Rattus norvegicus: one gene and its partner. The main gene of each other region encodes a partner of the protein of the gene in region 2 in a complex. Links are inferred from orthologs where the notes say so. Each region holds a gene or a part of one and is shown on either strand. Other genes may lie near its edges.

Evidence for each region. The genes of interacting proteins can lie anywhere in the genome.
Region 1: the proteins of Kl (region 2) and Fgf23 are in contact, whole or in part, in a cryo-EM structure (PDB 7YSH), measured with the Homo sapiens proteins. The link is inferred for Rattus norvegicus from reciprocal best matches to the Homo sapiens genes KL and FGF23. Residues at the interface, in NP_004786.2 of Homo sapiens: Phe377, Lys385, Leu389, Glu390, Pro392, Trp417, Phe418, Ser420, Lys429, Tyr432, Tyr433, Lys436, Phe437, Arg468, Ser471, Ile472, Arg556, Arg693, Asn694, Met695, Thr696, Tyr697, Ile735, Val752, Phe755, Asp756, Asn782, Asn783, Leu785, Ile812; in NP_065689.1 of Homo sapiens: Leu39, Met74, Ala80, Val88, Arg91, Leu166, Ile167, Phe169, Asn170, Ile173, Arg175, His177, Asp184, Ser185, Glu186, Arg187, Asp188, Pro189, Leu190, Asn191, Val192, Leu193, Lys194, Pro195, Arg196, Ala197, Arg198, Met199, Thr200, Pro201.

The regions. Positions count from the first base shown.
Region 1 is NC_086022.1:161,598,634-161,603,392, reverse strand, and holds the start of Fgf23 (fibroblast growth factor 23 precursor), read right to left. Parts: upstream 2,955-4,759; 5' UTR 2,829-2,954; coding exon 2,618-2,828; intron 1-2,617. UniProt on the Homo sapiens protein: Regulator of phosphate homeostasis. Inhibits renal tubular phosphate transport by reducing SLC34A1 levels. Up-regulates EGR1 expression in the presence of KL. Acts directly on the parathyroid to decrease PTH secretion. Regulator of vitamin-D metabolism.
Region 2 is NC_086030.1:5,356,681-5,360,675, reverse strand, and holds part of Kl (klotho precursor), read right to left. Parts: intron 3,903-3,995; coding exon 3,392-3,902; intron 2,142-3,391; coding exon 1,873-2,141; intron 1-1,872. UniProt on the Homo sapiens protein: May have weak glycosidase activity towards glucuronylated steroids. However, it lacks essential active site Glu residues at positions 239 and 872, suggesting it may be inactive as a glycosidase in vivo.

The DNA.
Region 1 (4,759 bases), on a different chromosome or scaffold from region 2:
ACAAAGAGTCATTCTTACAGAAATGCGCGTAAGCAAGATTTGCACATCAGATTAGTGCTACTCCCCCTCAAAGGCGAAGCTTACACAAGACAGAAATTACACTCAGCTAAAGTCAGGTTAACTCATTTTATTGCTTCTCAGTCACATTCATTCTCCTGGCATCCTCCAGTCCTGGTGTCTGCAAGCTCCCAAGGAAAAAGGCCTGCCATTTCAACTGCTTTCAAAGTAGACTGACCTTACACATCCTTCCTTCCCTACCTCTGGCCTGGATGGACTGTTCCAGACTCACCGCAGAGGGGCCACCTTTCAGCAAAGAAATTCTATGATTCTAGGAACGTTGTATGCGTATTCTCTAATTATAAGCAAATTTCCAATCCATAGAACCAAAATAGTTCACCCTCATCCGCTGTCCAGCCCTTGACATCCCGTGTAGTCCTGCAGCGGAAGTCACGGCTGTCTTCCAGGGAGAGAAATACAATGGCATTTCCTAAAAGTTTGGTAAAGCACTGGGAGATAAGAGGTCTCTGAAGAACTATGTCACACTTCCAGTGACAGAGGGTTGTGTGGTGTCTGGCACCTTGTAGGTCCTGTTCCACAGAGCATGAGCAGTTTGGGGGACCCATGAAGTGTACCCAGATTTACTCCAGATTCTCATCATCAGTCTCAAACCTGACTTCCAAGAGGTAACCCCAAGGTCCCACTTTATTCCCCTGAGTTCTGGAGCATGCCTCATGTTTGGAGAGAATCTTTCTCCTCTTCCTCTCCCTCTCCCTCCCCCTCCCCTCTCCCTCCTCTTCTTCTTTCTTCTCCCCCTTCCCTCCCCTTCCCCCATGTTCCCATCCTCTCCCCATTCCCCTCCCCCTCCCCCTTCCCCTCCCCCTCCTCCCATCTCCTGTCAATGTAGCCTGTAGGCAGGTGTAAGCTGCTGGCTTTGCTTGTGCCGGTCCCTGGTCCCAGGTCCCTGGCTGCTAGGTTTAAGGTCTGTTGGTTTCTAGCAGAGAGAAGGCTGTTTGCACACACAGCAAGGCCACATCCAGGAAACAGGCTCACTTATTAGAGCAGCACTGAGCGATCGTAATCCTTACAGAACATTTTTTAGTGAGGGACAAGCTACCACTGCTCAGTGCTGTACACGGCACTGAACCCCACTAATCTTCTGTACCCTGAACCCCGCTAATCTTTTGTACCCTGAACCTCGCTAATCTTCTGTGCCCTGAACCCCACTAATCTTCTGTACCCTGAACCCCGCTAATCTTTTGTACCCTGAACCTCGCTAATCTTCTGTGCCCTGAACCCCACTACATCTTCTGTACCCTGAAGGCCACTACATCTTCTGTACCCTGAACCCCGCTAATCTTCTGTACCCTGAACCCCACTACAACTTCTGTACCCTGAACCCCACTACATCTTCTGTACCCTGAACCCCGCTAATCTTCTGTACCCTGAACCCCGCTACATCTTCTGTACCCTGAACCCTGCTACATCTTCTGTACCCTGAACCCCGCTACAACTTCTGTACCCCTTTGGAGAAACTTTTCAGTTTTCTTTTGTTTTGTTTTGCTCTGTTTGTATGGCCGTCTTGTCTGCATGTATCTCTGTGCACCACATTTGTGCAGTGCCATCGGAGGGCAGAAGAGGGCATTGGATCTCCTGGAAGTGGAGTTACAGACCACTGTAAGCTTCCACTTGGGTGCTGGACTGAACCTGGACCAGCTGCAAGAGCAGCCAGTGCTCTTAGCTGCTGAGCCATCTCTCCAGCCCTATTTAGAATTCTTTATACGTCTGTAAAATAGAAAATATGTCGTTTCCAATTCCTGTCTCTCTTGTTACTCTGTTTTCTATGTATTATTCCTTACACTGAAAGGGGATCTCAGTTGAATAATCTAGTTGATTGGCACGTATAGCTTGCGATCCAATCTTCCATAGACTCTATCCTTAAGAATATTCCAATTGTTTCATATCACCAGTGAGTTCACCACCAGGCAATAAGTTTTATAAGCAACTAAACACATTTCAGCTTCTCAGAGAAGACCCACCAACCACACAGGGTGCCTCTGAAGCACCCTGCATGCCGCTGGGTGGATGCATTCAGTTAGACTTGCCAAGACGACACATCTTAGTGGTCTGTCTTTAACATAATGTCCCTCGAGAAAGGTTTTGTTTTGTTTGAGACAGTCTCACTATATAACCCTGACCAATCTCCCAGTTAAGTTCTGTCTGGCTTATTCTTTACTTTGAGTCCTTGTCTTCCTATTCATTTTTCCCTCCAATTCCTGAACCGATGGAAAGAAAATCAGCTCTCATTATTGGAAATGGGTTACAACAGTTATTATTCAGGTTGAGAAAAACCTGTATGTCAAATAAAGAGGATGGAAAAAAACCCTTCCTCTTAGGTTTTACACACACACACACACACACACACATACACACACACACACACACACACACACACACACACACACACACAGAGAGAGAGAGAGAGAGAGAGAGAGAGAGAGAGAGAGAGAGAGAGAGAGAGAGAGACCTATGCATACAAGGAGCTACAAGGCTTCCCCAATACCTCTGTAGGTCAACAGTAGAGAGTTTCTCCTCTTCCCAACCTGGAGCCCATACTCACTGTAGATAGTCTGATGGGGTGTTCCGTCTACATGGCCATCCCTATGGATCTGTAGGTGATAGCTGTTCCTGGCTGTAGCTGTGTACAGGTGGGTCAGGCTCCCCCAGTTGGAGCCAAGCAGTGGGGAAGTGTCTGAATAGGCTCTAGCAGTGCCCAAGCTGCAGACGGTGCACAGAGCGCCCACCAGGAGTCTGAGGCAGGCCCCCAGCATCGCACAGCGCTGAGTGGCTATTGCTGAGGTTGAAATCTGACACTCCCAGACAGCCTGGGACCTCGCTGGCCTTACTGTCTTCTTCCTAGGAAGAAGCTGAGAACTGAGGTGGGGATCCTGGGCTAGATTCCCTCCTTTTTTCCCTGGGACTTTTAAAGGGTGGTGGTATGACATCAAGTAGGAAAAACAATGCTGCCACATCCTCTGTGTTGTAATCATCCATTCGAAGAAAAAGCCCAGACTTCTTAGGCTTGCGGAAGGCGCGTCAGTTCCAGGCACACACACACACACACACACACACACACACACACACACACATGCACGCACACACCCCTCAATTTCAAGCCAGTGCTCTCATAAGTGAACGATGTGTGGGCAAAAGTTATCTGTGACCCTGGGTCATCTGTTGACCTGTCCCACTTCCATCAGGAAATGTGAAGGCAGCCAGCAGTGCTAAAACAAAAAAAACAGAAAACCAGAAAGCCGCCTCCTCGCTAACTCATCTCCCTCCAGTGTACTTGTTTTGGTTTGCTCAAGCCTTCTACCTCCAGCAGCCAAGTGTGTGCTTGGAGCTACTCCGGGCTGCTGCAGGTGTCTTAATAGATAGAGATATGGGATGCTAGCAGGCAAACGAGACTCCCCCTATACACATACCTCAGGAAGGGTGAGTTAGGTGGGAGCAGAGCTCACCCCCCCCCCCATTACCATTCGCAAAGACCTCAAGACAAGAAGAAAGAAAACAAGGTCTTGAGGTCAGCAAAAATGGCAAGATCTGGTTTCTCAGTTTCCCTCGTTTGGATGACGCAGGGAACTAAACTGGCAATTATGGCTTTGCCAATAGGAAGGAGACTCATTTGGAGGACTGGAATGGCACTGCTGGCTGATCAGAGGGGTTAGAGGTCAGGAAACATCCAGGAGCTGCAGGACTGGGCACTTCCCCATCCGGAGTCCACATCCTGGGACCTTGTGTGAGTGGACGCCTCACTGCAGAAATTGCTCTGCGCGTGCCCTCTGAGGAGGTGCATCTGACTCAGCTGTGTGGGATGTGGGGAAGGAGGTTGAAGGCAGAACTAACACACACAGTCTATTGGAGGGCAGGCTGTTAGAACAGATATCAGTTCTGTTAGAATAGATATCCTATGACCACAAGGAGTGTTGTCACTCAGTGTCCCAGGTTACTGAGTTCCTACAATGCATAAGTGTTCCTTAAGATAGACTTCAGCGCTGATGAAAGAGAGAGTAAGATGTTACAAATCCAGCGGAGGAAGCAGATAAAGACAATTAGCCTTGTGCAAAGCACACAGATGCTTGCACATGGCTGAGGCTAGTAGCGATGCCCCTTCCACCTCCAATTCCAGTTGGGTCCAGGTTTCTGCAGTTTACAGAGTGTTTTCTCATCTGCTAGTACTTTGAACTTCATTGCAACTCTATAAGACAGGCGCACCATGCTACTAATGTTTGAAATATGTATTTATTATTAACTTACTTATTTACCAAGACAGGGTCTCACCATGTAGCCCTAACTGGCTTCTCACTCAACGGAGCTCTGCCTGCTTCTGTTTCCTGATAGCTGCGATTGATGATGTGCTCATTAAGGCTGGTCTTCAAAAAAAAAAAAGTGTGAGTGTGAGTATGCGTGTGTGTGCATGCGTGCATGCATATGGTGTGTATGTGTGTACACATGTGTATGTGTATGCATGTGTGTATGCATGTGTATGTATGTGTGTATGCATGTGTGTATGTGTGAGTGAGTGTGTGTAAGTGTGCATATGTGTGTAAGTATGTGTATGTGTATATTTAAGTGTGTGTGTGAGTGTGTGTGTGAGTGAGTGTGTGTGTGCATGCGCCTGTGTACGTATGGTATGTATGTGTGTATATGTGTGTGTACATGTGTGTGCGTATGGTGTGTATGAGTGAGTGTATGTATGTGT
Region 2 (3,995 bases):
AGAAAATACCCACCTGCCGCGTGGTCTTTTAAGGTCCACGTCTTCAGAACTCTTTCGGACTATTTTTATTCAACTCTGAACGGACTAAATTCGTAACCTCTCTACCAGAGCCATCCCAGAAAACGGTTTCTACTAAGTCTAACTAAAAACAAAATATGAAAGACCCTGTAAGATTCGGGGTAATGGGGTCAGTTCTCTAAACTAGGAAAGCCGTAGAAATGAGTGGGCAGGCAAAAGTCCACCTAATTTAGAGACTTACTGCCTTAGGTTCGACTAAAAAGTTTTTTAGTTTGGGGAAGGATGAGTGCCAAACACATATTTAATTTGTTATTGATAAAAGTTTCTCCTCACAGGAGTGGACAACAGTGTCGCTCCATGTTGTGTGTAATCTGCTTGACTTTGGTCAACCAACAGCATCAGGAGTTCTGAGCAAACTCAGGAGCTGGGACACTGGGTCTGAGCAAAGTGACACGCACCCCTCCCCCATGTGAATGTGCCCAGCTACAAACTTTTTTTTTTTTTTTTTTCGGAGCTGGGGACCGAACCCAGGGCCTTGCGCTTCCTAGGCATAGCGCTCTACCACTGAGCTAAATCCCTAACCCCTCAGCTACAAACTTCTAACAGATGGCGTGTAGCTAGGGGACACACACACACACACACACACACACACACACACACACGCGCGCGCGCGCGCTGCTTTGTTTTGGTTTTTGTCTTTCAAGACAGAGTTTCTCTGTGCAGCACTGGCTATCTTGAAACTCACTCTGTAGACCAGGCTGGCCACAAACTCAGAGATCCACCTGCCTCTGCCTCCTGAGTGCTGCGGTTAAGGTGTGGACCACCGTCACCCGGCTTAGGGGGATATTTTTAATTATTTGGGTAAAATGTACGCCATAACACTTGATTACGGAGCACTAACCAGGAGGGGGAAAGAGAAACTTTAGGGTTTAAAAAAAGAAAATCGGGGTAGCGGTAGAGCGCTTGCCTAAGAAGCGCAAGGCCCTGGGTTCGGTCCCCAGCTCCGAAAAAAAGAACCAAAAAAAAAAAAAAAAAAAAAAAGAAAGAAAAAAGAAAAAAAGAAAATCACTTCTCAAAGTTTCTTGGTGCAGTGGTTAATGTAGAAACTCACAGCTCAGGAACATCTAAGGACAGGAAGGATGTCAGAGCAGAGGTTGGGGAGGGTCAGAGATAGCATCTTTCAGCCATGACTTTTGTCTTCGTCACAAGGGTAACACAGCAACGCACACAGGGTTTTGTACACAATAGGCAGCCATCAAGTGCTTACTTAAATTATTCAGTCAAACCCCAAGAAACAAAGTCACTTTAAAACCAGGGAAACTAAAAAACCGGTTTTGAGGACTTCCTACACAGTTGATGCTCAATAAGTACTAATTGATCATTTTGGAGCACCACAGTGCTATCAATAAATCGTTGAAGCTGTGGTCTGCTCTCTCGAGGTGTTTTCTACGAGCCTGGAGCGGGGCATTTCCGGTGAGGAGGGATCTGTTAAACACTCCAGCCACGTTCTCAGCGGCTTCCCTGAGACTCTCTGGACTTCTGTGTTGAATCTTATTTATGAGAAACTTAACTTCCTGAGCAGGGATTTCAACCATAACCCTAAAGGGGTGTATTGTCTTAACAGAGCTTACATATTCATGTTTTGATTCTGTTTGCCCTTGGATCTAATAGAAAGCACAAGGTGTAGAGCGAAAGATGTTTGAAGACTGAAGCATGCTGGACTATGTAGTTCATAAGTTCTCTAGGGAGCTCTGTTTGGCTCAAAGTTCCTGATGCTGCGCCGCCCTGGCAAGAGCCTGGCGAGGAAGCAGGAGACCTGCTGATACTGCTGACAGGCTTTGTCAACTGACTTACTTGAATGTAGTTGTCAACCACTCCCCAAGCAAAGTCACAGGGAAACGTCCCTTCAAGGGGCTGGTTCTCAGGTAAAGGAGGGAAGCCATTGTTCTCTATCAGCTTTTGGTAGAACAAGGCCGAAGACTTGGGCAACAACTCCTTGTCCTGACTCAGAAAGTCGACATAGAAGAGTCCTCGTCGGATGCTGTAGCCCCTGTGCCACTCGAAACCATCCATGAGGGACCATGCGGTGTACCCAATGACGTCGACCCCATCCAGCCTGATGGCTGCAGAAGGAAGAGAGGACAAGAGTGGTGTCATCCCCCACTGGGCTTTGTGTGATTCAAGAGCAGAGAGGGGTTTTCCACTTAAAGAAACAAGGCAAGGGACTGGAGAGATGGCTCAGTGGTTAAAAGCACTGGCTGCTCTTCCAGAGGACCCAGGTTTGGTTCCCAGCATCCACGTGGTGGCTCGCAACTCTAACCAGTGCACGGGATCCAACGCCCTCTTCTGGCCTCTGTGGGCATCGCATACACACATGCAGGCAAAAACTCACATAGGTAAAATAAAAATGAAATCTCAAAAAAAAAAAAAAGATACAGAAACAAGTCAGATGTAATGCTTCTTGTTTGGTAAACACTTTTTTTTTTTCTGGTTTACAAAAGGCCCTAGCAGTTGCTCAGTACCAGGGGTGCTAGGGTGACTTGTTCCTAACCTGGGGACCTAACATCGTGACCGTGTCTTCTTTTTTTTTCTTGTGCTGTGGATGGGACCAAGGGCCTTGGGTTGCCAGTAAATACTGTATACCTGACCCACTTCCGTAGTCTTTAAAGCTCAATTTATCTAGGTCATATGAATATTCCTTTTGCTTTAAAAAAAAGCGTTTTATTGAAAGAGGGAGCTAGTTGTGGTTACAAATGATCAACATGCATTGTATAAATGTATGGCAATTTTGAAGAATAAAAAAAATTAAAGGAAAAGCATGTTATTCCGCTGAAACAAATGAGCTAGGAATATATACAGAGGGCTCGATAATCTGAGGTTTTTAATACTGTATTATATGATATAATAATGTATCTGAGAGACTGTGAATCCACTGATTCTAAATATTCATCTTGTTTTCAGCAGATTATTAAAATTCCTTTTATGAAACTTCGAAAATTAAGTTTCCGAAGGGTCCAAAAAAGAGCAGGGTTACATAATAGATTCTCCCCACCGCTTAAATTGTGACAAAAATCATATACCCACATTTTGCAGGTAGTCTTAAAAGGTGTATGTGGTATGTTGTGTGTGTGTGTGTGTGTTCCCGTGTATGAGATGTGTGGCACATGTCATATTGATGTGTGTGGTATATGATGTGTGTGTTTAATATGTGATTTTTGTGTATGTGTATATGGTATGGTGTGTATATGATACATATATATGCATGTGTGTGTACAGTATGATATATGTGGTATGTGTGTGGGTGGGTGTGTATGTGGGAGTATGCATGTGTGAATTTTGGCAAAAAAAATGGGAATTTTACTTGAGAGCTTACCTTTTAAGCTTTCCATTATGAACTTCTTGAGATAATACATGTATTTGGCATCATCTCTTCTGGTGGTCCCCGAGACAAACCAGCCATTTTCTACAATAAATATCTGAGGGTGGTTATACTCCAGATCTATCCAAGACAGAAGCTGCCTCAGGCTGGGAGACTCCAGCTGGCGGAACTTCATGCTGGGGTCCAGTAGTTGAAAGCTCAAGGTTGGTCCGAAGGAGAGAGCAAAGAAGTCAGCTGTTCCCCTGATGAATCTCTTCTCGGATTCAGTAAAATCGGGCAGCAGGGATGAGAGGTTGTTCTTCATACTCTTTGGGTAGTCGCCATCGATAAATATGGGCTTGGCAAACCAGCCTAGCACGAAGTCAAGAGACTTCTGACACTCTCTGATGTGATAGTCGGTCATCCTTCGAGGGGTGATCCAATGGGAACCTAAGGCGATGGACACCCGGCCCCCCTGAGTGGGGCGGAAGGAGGTGTTGTAGAGACGCCAGACTTTGGCGTGAGCCTACGAAGGAAAAAAACATGGTGAATTTCTCCCTGATTGTGAGGAAGCATGTGATATTTACTGGATTCCCAGCCCCACTGATGCCTGGTTTCC